2 linked regions of the Neurospora crassa OR74A genome follow. Each later gene encodes a partner of the first gene's protein in a complex. Links are inferred from orthologs where the notes say so. Each region holds a gene or a part of one and is shown in the gene's direction. Other genes may lie near its edges.

What was found.
Region 2: the proteins of NCU02680 (region 1) and NCU06856 are in contact, whole or in part, in a cryo-EM structure (PDB 8DAR), measured with the Saccharomyces cerevisiae proteins. The link is inferred for Neurospora crassa OR74A from reciprocal best matches to the Saccharomyces cerevisiae genes NPL4 and UFD1. Residues at the interface, in NP_009729.1 of Saccharomyces cerevisiae: Gln258, Glu292, Gln293, Asp294, Gly295, Leu296, Thr297, Met298, Phe326, Thr327, Asp328, Ser330, Phe340, Cys341, Lys342, Arg343, His344, Asp346, Ser351, Leu353, Glu354, Met357, Arg360, Ser415, Gly416, Ser417, Thr418, Phe419, Pro420, Tyr424; in NP_011562.1 of Saccharomyces cerevisiae: Val232, Leu233, Gly236, Ser237, Met238, Ser239, Arg241, Tyr244, Ile247, Ala248, Phe285, Asp286, Gly287, Glu288, Pro289, Ala290, Lys291, Leu292, Asp293, Leu294, Glu296, Gly297, Gln298, Leu299, Phe300, Phe301, Gly302, Phe303, Met305, Val306.

Annotation. Positions count from the first base shown.
Region 1 is NC_026501.1:3,179,443-3,183,859, reverse strand, and holds the start of NCU02680 (nuclear protein localization protein 4), read left to right. Parts: upstream 1-1,512; 5' UTR 1,513-1,856; coding exon 1,857-2,065; intron 2,066-2,141; coding exon 2,142-3,618; intron 3,619-3,673; coding exon 3,674-3,785; intron 3,786-3,855; coding exon 3,856-3,869; 3' UTR 3,870-3,927; coding exon of another isoform or gene 3,928-3,932; 3' UTR 3,933-4,417. Other genes in the region: NCU02681 (translocation protein), read right to left, coding at 175-432, 506-807, 878-983. UniProt on the Saccharomyces cerevisiae protein: Substrate-recruiting cofactor of the CDC48-NPL4-UFD1 segregase. Assists CDC48 in the dislocation of misfolded, polyubiquitinated ERAD substrates that are subsequently delivered to the proteasome for degradation.
Region 2 is NC_026502.1:1,742,224-1,745,904, reverse strand, and holds NCU06856 (ubiquitin fusion degradation protein), read left to right. Parts: upstream 1-1,352; 5' UTR 1,353-1,570; coding exon 1,571-1,573; intron 1,574-1,662; coding exon 1,663-2,808; 3' UTR 2,809-3,091; downstream 3,092-3,681. Other genes in the region: NCU06855 (hypothetical protein), read right to left, coding at 1-807. UniProt on the Saccharomyces cerevisiae protein: Functions at a post-ubiquitation step in the ubiquitin fusion degradation (UFD) pathway. Has a role in the endoplasmic reticulum-associated degradation (ERAD) pathway.

The DNA of each region.
Region 1 (4,417 bases):
ATTTTGCTGCAGGTCCCAACCCATAAACGCCATGGAAGAATGCAATTGCTTGCCCAACACAACCCCACACTGCCCTGCCCTCCCATACCTCTCTTCTTATTGTACAGCCACCCCGGAGATCTCTATGCGAGATGCTCACGTCACTCTCATGCACCGCTCGCTAGGACGTGACCTCTAGTTCTTGCCCTTCTTGTTCGACGGCGATGAGGTGACTGAGCTGGTGTCCACAGGGGTACCAGTACCAGCCTCATCCCCTTCCAGTTCCTTCATGAACTCGCTTCTAACGGTGGCCCTGCGCTTCTCCCACCACTCCTTTTCTTGTGTTGCCTGAGCCTGGATCTCGTCAAGGCGCTCGCGCAGCACAGTGTTGGCAGCAATCTCGTTGGCGGTTTGGAAGATGCTCTGTCCCCAGTTGGGAGCGAGTGCGTTGGCCTGAAGAATCGGGCATTAGCATTTCTGGCATCCAATCATCCGCACGGGTAACCCTCTTCAAAGGAACACACACCTCCATAACAACATCACGAAGCTCTTCCTCCATTTCCTTCTCGGCACGCTGGAACCTTTGCCACAGATCATCGCCGATGCTTCCACGCTGCAAAAGAGAGCTGCAGGCGGCCTTGGCGGCGCGGATCTGGATAATACGGTGGATGTCTTCGACAGCGCGGCGCAGCAGAGCCGCCCGGAGCACACTTTCAGGAACTTTAGGTGCCTTTTCGGATCCGTTCTCGGGCTCCATGTGGAGGAGTGACAGGTAGACGTTGCGTTGGAGGTGAGGACCGAACCATGGTGCGAGGTTTGCGCTTTGCTCTGGAAGAATCAACATGGTTAGGCTTCTATCCAGAGAAGCATAGAAATTTCTGAGTAGGGGGTTGCATACGGGCTTTCCTCTTGCGGTAGATTGTGGAAAAGGTCATGAAGGTGCCCGTCAGGACAATCAGATAGGCGAAGGGGAGCACAAGCCCCCGCCAGTCGACGCTGAACATGTTTCGGGATGGAGTGTGTGTCAAATTGACGGACGAGAAATGATGTCTGTATTCTCTACTCTGGAAGAAAGCGAGCGACTAGAGTGAACCAAGAGGCGGTAGGTGGCGTGAGGATTGTCGTCGTGCAACTGAAGGTTGCCCGGTGATGGATGCGTTTGCCTTTTGCGGTTGTGTGAGTGATGGACACCGACGGCAATGTAATCGTGCTTCCCTTGGTTATCAAATGCAGTGCCCATGCCTGGAAAGAACACCTTGACAACTGCAACGGTGCAGCGCGGCAGGGGGAGCTTGACAATGGAATTTCGGCCCTTGGCGCGCGCTGGCTTCATCTGAGTGGCAGGGGCCCATGCCGCAAGTGGAAATCGATGCCTGCCGCGACAGCCCCTTTCTGTCACTCCCAAGTCTTTGAGGGGTGCGGGGCATTGCCGGGCCGGCATTGGGCTCTCTCTCTGACGTGGGACCGGGAGTTTCTTGGCTCTTCTGGAAACCCAGCAGGCATGCCTCGATTGCTCAGCACTTCCCAGCACGCCCCAGCACTCCCGCCGCCCAGGCACACGTATGACGAACGCCTGAAACTATCGTACAGCGTTGCGTGGAGCTCCCCGCCCTTCGATCAGGTCCCGTCTGCCGACCAACAATTCACCACCCGTATCCCGTCACCAGTTGTGCCTTTACCCCGAGTCCGAGGACCTGGCGTGACCTTGTAGATTTTGCGCAACAAGAAGCTTTATTCATAGATACCGCCCTACTTCCGACGCCTACGACACATTTTAAATTCAGATTCCGGATTATACTCGCCGAACGACAGGAACAGACCAGATCCGTCGGACCCTTTAACAGCCCAGACGTCACCTTTTTTTCAGCCCGCCCACGATGTTGTTGAGGGTACGCGGTCCCGATGGCATGCTCCGCCTGACATTGGAGAAAGATGACACCTTTGCGGATCTTGGCCGTCAACTCATTCCCAAGCTTCCCCCGACTGTTGACCCGAAAACAATTACATTCTCGAACCATCCGACCGGCAGCGACGCCAAGAATCTCAGCGAGGTCGCAAAGTTCAAGGTCGGCCAGACTGGGCTCAGGCAAGCTGACCCCTTGGAACTCTCGCGCTGATCTTGCGATTTATGTGCCAGACACTAACTAGCGACCTGAAAATAGCCATGGCGATCTTATTTTTGTCACCTACAAGCACAACGATGCGGCGACCGACGGCCCAGGCAACGGCGAAGCCACCAAATCCAGCGTGCTTTCATCCACGAACCGCCTCAACGGCAAACCGATCCTACCTGCAGAAGACTTGCCCATCGACCCGCCTCCGCTGACATCTCCGCATGAACATATCAAGAACCCGTGGGAAACGGTGAGGCAGTCGCCTCTGGACGATCGGCTAGACAAGCGTGACGGAAAGATCCCAAGGGGGCGCGATCATAAGATGTGTCGCCACGGGCCCAAGGGTATGTGCGATTACTGCATGCCCCTTGATCCGTTTAACGCAAAGTATCTCGAGGAAAAGAAAATCAAGTACATGTCAGTACACGCATACCTCCGCAAAATCAACTCTGCGACAAACAAGCCCGAGCTTGGGGCTTCGTTTATCCCCCCGCTTGTCGAACCCTATTACAGAGTCAAGCGGGACTGTCCATCCGGCCATCCTCAATGGCCCGAAGGTATCTGCACAAAATGCCAGCCCAGCGCCATCACTCTCCAGCCCCAGCCATTCAGAATGGTGGACCACGTCGAGTTCGCGACGCCCCAGATCATCGACAAGTTCCTCAATCCCTGGCGTATGACGGGATGTCAACGGCTTGGTATCCTCTACGGCAAATATCTCGAATACGATGTTGTTCCGCTTGGCGTCAAGGCTGTCGTGGAAGCCATCTACGAACCACCGCAGGTTGACGAGATCGACGGTGTTACTCTCAACGCGTGGGAAAACGAGAAGGATGTCAACGAAGTAGCAAGACTATGCGGACTGGAGCCTGTGGGTGTGATCTGGACGGATCTCCTGGACGCTGGCAAGGGTGACGGAAGTGCCATCTGCAAGAGACACAGCGATTCCTACTTCCTCGCGGCTCAGGAGATCTGCTTTGCGGCGAGGCTCCAGGCACAGCACCCAAAGCCTACCAAGTGGAGCGATACAGGCCGGTTCGGCTCCAACTTTGTCACTTGCGTCATCTCTGGCAATGAGCAGGGCGAGATTTCGATCTCGGCCTATCAGATGTCGAACGATGCGGTCGAGATGGTCAGGGCAGACATCATCGAACCTTCCACGGACCCCGGTCAAATGTTGGTGCGCGAAGAGGAGGAGGACGATGGCTCAGTCAGCAGGACGCGATACATCCCCGAGGTGTTCTATCGCAAGATCAACGAGTACGGAGCAAATGTCCAAGAGAATGCAAAGCCCGCATTTCCCGTCGAGTATCTCTTCGTCACCTTGACCCATGGTTTCCCTGAAAGTCCCCGGCCGGTATTCACGAATGACGGCTTCCCTATCGCCAATCGCGAATTTGTCGGAGAAGCCCAGGAAGCCTCATCAGTAGCAAAGATTCTTAAGGTGAACCAAAAGTCCGACCAATTCGACGTTAGCAACTTCCACTTGCTCTGCTTTATCCGGCAGATGAGCGTGCTGTCCAAGGTCAGCTCACCGTATTTCCACTTGGGTCCGACAGAATACTGACTCTTTCTCGTAGGATGAGGAGGCACTCCTTTGCCGCGTAGCAACACAACATGACCTTGCCGACGCCTTCCAACTCCGGGCGACAGAGGGGTGGAGGACCCTGCACATGATCTTGGAATCCACTGGTGAGAGACTTCCCAAGCGCCCCAGAACTGAGGATGCTAGTTTTCCCTCGGTTGACAGATCCTACCTCAGCCACCACCCATTGATGCAAAGGAATCACAACTCGACGGATGAACCACTTGCTAAGCGTTTTGCTGCTGTCAGGCTGAACGAACAACGCCCGCCACCGCCTCCACCTCCCGAATAGGATTCGATGGACGTGGACTGAGGATACGCATGGCTTAATAATGTCACCATCAACTCTGATCACAAGGCACGGAGCTGAGGGATCAGGTCCTTCAACAAAAGGCAACACAGGGTTTGGAGCTTCATCTGCGGCGAAACTTTCATTCTGGACCGACCTCGGCGAAACACATTGAGAACATACAATGGACGCATTGGCGTTGACTTTTGCTGCTTTGATGGAAAATAGACATGAACTGGGCATCAAATAAGACGAAAGGGGTTGAGTAATGGAAAAGATATCCTAGTCTAACAGTGCTGAAGATACTGCTCATGTCGCATTGTGGCTCATGAACATAGTTTCTGTATCAATATGTCATCTACAATTGAGGCGCCAGTGGTTTAGTGGTAAAATCCATCGTTGCCATCGATGGGCCCCGCGTTCGATTCGCGGCTGGCGCATATTGTTTTT
Region 2 (3,681 bases), on another chromosome or scaffold:
GTCGGCCGCTTTGCGGATGTAGTTGCCCGCCTCGTCAAAGGCACCCTCTTCATTCTCGGCTTGCATGTTGAAGGCGTCAATCTTGGGCGCATGTTTCTTCAGTCCGCCTAGGCCGACCTCTTCGTCTACTCCCTCTTCGGCGATGGCGGCTGCTATGGCTTCTTCGTCGTCGTCGTCTTCGTCTTCGTCGTCCGATTCGGCTGAGGCGGCGGGGTTGATGTTGATGGTTCCGCCAGCTTTGGAAGAGAGGTCTTGCCCTTCGATTTCCGAGTCGGCGAGGAAGTGGACGGATTTTTTGTCCTTCGCAGAGCCACCACCGGCTGTCGTTGGTTGAGCACCGTCGTCGTCTTCCAAATCGCCAAACATGTCTACCTCGTCATCTTCATCGGCATCTTTCCCTGCCCCGTTGGAAGGCTTGTTGTAATTATCCATCATCTCGGCCAGATCCACGTCCTCGGCGTCTTTGCCCTTCTTGCGGCTCTTCCCTCGGGCTTCCGCGCGGTCTTCCAGGTTGTCATTGTCGGAATCGGAATCGTACCCATCGATGTTGACCGCGCCGCGCTTGGTGGCTCGGGAAAGCCCACCGATCACGTCGGCGGCAAGAACCTCCTCGTCAGCTTCGTCGAGGTCGTCATCGTGCGCTGAGGGCGCGAGCGCGGAGGGGTTGCGCACGTCGAACTTGACTTTTTTGTGGGACGGCCCGCTGGAGGTGTCGTCGTCGTCGTTGGAGCGCGATTCGCCGTGGTGGGCGCGGGCGTAAGCTTCGCTGGCGCGTTTGGGGCGCGCGGCGGAGAAGCGGGAGGACATGGTGGTGGCTGTTGTCTTCAATCTCGTGTGTTGGTGTGTAGGCGTTGACGTCAGCGTGTAAAGGTTATGTCGTCTTGATAGAATGGCCTATTCTGCCCCTGTATCGCAGACTTTGTGTAGATATGGCCTGAAATGATGACTGTTTTGCCTGGGTCGACGGCGAATGACAACTCTACAAGTAGAGGATGGTGTTTAAGAGAGGATCTAGATGGCGAATTGGGAATATCAAGGAAGAACATCACTAGAGGTACCTTACCCGTTGTCAGCCCCAACGGATAACATGGAGCTCTCCACTGCCATCAAGGTCCAGAGCGTTCTGCAGTGGACAGGCAGCGCTCAAGGTACCTTTGACCTAAGCGTTTAAGAAGGGGGGGAGCTCGCGCCACGGCAGCACGGTTTCACAGATCTGACGCCACGGCGGCACCTTCTCACCCCGCCAATCCGGGCCGCCGAGGCGGCAGATACATAGAGGTAGGTACTGTACGGTACCCATGCCAGGGCTCCAATTATTACCTAACGTGCCTGTAACTTTCGGGCCCAGTTATGTCATCTGCGTTGTTGCCTTTGGAACCTTCCACGCGGTCAGGTTATTTCAACATCGTCGCAACCTCCCTTTCACTATCGCTTGTCACGCTCTGCTGTTCCGGATCCCACTACCTATTCTGCGAAGCTTACCTCGAGATCTCCCCTCTTAATACAAATTCCCTGTCGTTTCCCTTTCTGCAAAATACTTTACTCCATCTCTAGCAGCTCCCTCGCGATCATGGTAAGCTATCCTTGTCCTCACGCTCGATTATCAAGACAGCTTTTCGACCCCTCTATCTCTTGAAACATTCTAACATGTGCCCATGACAGTATGGAGACATCTACAGTCGCGCCACTGGTCGCTCTCGGGGCGCGCAACGCTTCGATGAGTACTACCGCTGCTACCCCCTTGTCATGGCGCCCGGTGCCGAACGACCTGAACTCAACTACGGCTCCAAGATTCTGCTCCCGCCCTCCGCTCTCGACAAGGTTTCGCGACTACACGTCCAATGGCCCATCATGCTAGAGCTTATCAACGGCTCGCAGGGCACCCACACACACGCCGGTGTTCTGGAGTTCGTGGCTGAGGAGGGCAGGGCCTACATCCCGCAGTGGATGATGCAGACCCTCAAGCTCGACGTGGGCGACATGATTCAGATCAAGACGACATCTCTCGAGCTTGCCAGGCTTGTCAAGCTCCAACCGCAATCGGTCAACTTCCTCGACATCAGCGACCCTCGTGCCGTCCTCGAAAAGGCCTTCCGGAACTTTGCGGCGCTGACCAAGGGCGACGTTTTCAACTTTGAGTACAACGATGAGATCTACGAAATGGCGGTACTGGACGTCAAGCCGGAGACGGCCAAGATGGGTGTCTGCATGATCGAGACAGACGTCAGCGTCGATTTTGCGCCGCCAGTTGGCTACGTCGAGCCTTCGCGACAGACACAAGGCAGTGGTACCAGCACACCACGCAACGGAAGGGCTGTTGGCGGAGGACTTCCGGCGGGTGGTCTTTTGCACAACCAGGGAACCATGGCGCAGGCTATCAACTACGATGCCATCGCACCAGGAGCCACCACCACGTCGGTGGGCAACTTTCAAGGTGAGGGTCTGCGGTTGGCGGCGAAGAAGGGTAGCAAGACGGGAACACCGAAGCCGGCGACGCCGGTGGCGGGTACGTCGACCAACGTTAAGGACGTGGTGCTGCCCAGGAGGAAAAACAACAACGGCCCGTTGCCGTTGCGTCTGCCGCCCAACAAGCTCTTCTTGGGCTACGAGATCAAGCCTGTCAAAACTGCCGCAGATAAGGAGAGGGAGGCGGCGGCGGCGAAGCAGCCGCACTTTGCGGGCCAGGGACAGACGCTCCGGGGAGGAGTCCCGAAGAAGAAGAGCAGCGATGGTGACGACAAGGCGGCGCAAGGCGAGAAGAAGCCGACAGAGAGCAAGGGAAGGCGACTTGACGGCAGGAATGTCTAGGGACAAACTTTCGTTCAACAAGCTTGTTACTAGATGGTTTGATGCATTGTCGGGCGTTAATGGGAAACAGGGTCATGGGAAAGGGAGGTTCACAGTCAAGGGATCACGGAACGTTTGTAGCGTCATTACGAATACACATGGACAGGCCACGATGCGTTTCAAGATAGAAAAGGGCTGTATATGGGATGTTGAGTGCTGAACCGCACGATGTTTACATAGGCCCATGCAGCTGACTAGAATTAGTGAAAAAGGAAATGATACCTCGATGTCCTCCTATAGCTGGAACATGCCAAGGTGATGTTCAACAAGGTCCGCTGGCTCAATGGCAGAGCGTCTGACTACGAATCAGGAGGTTCCAGGTTCGACCCCTGGGTGGATCGAGTTATCTTTTCTTTTGCCAGCATAGTATGCTGCGGCGTCACCAATTTATTTAAAAAAAAAAAAAAAAATTTTAAATTTTTTTTTTCTTTTTGTTCTCTTTTTGATCCCTTGAAATGCCGGAATTTGACTTTGGTGCAAGATGGACATGATACAAAGAGTCCCTGGTTTTTTTTCTTTTTTTTCCTCATTGTGGACGGTGCATCGAGAGCGGCTTGGTCCGTCTTGTCTTTATCTTGAGCAGTCGCTTTGTCAGTGTCATGCCAGGAAGGTCCGGAGTTCTGCCTGCATCCACTTCGAGGTCTCTCCTTCCAGAATTTTGCATCCTTAAAGATTAGTCATATGTCAACGATGCTTGGAACGAATATAGTCGACAACATCAACAGCATGACATTGAGTTCTGATGTTAGTTTAGTACCAGCGGTTTTTTGGCTTTTCCCAGTTGCACTTCCAAGAACTCGGTCGGTCGCATCATTTGAGATAAGTCCTTGATTA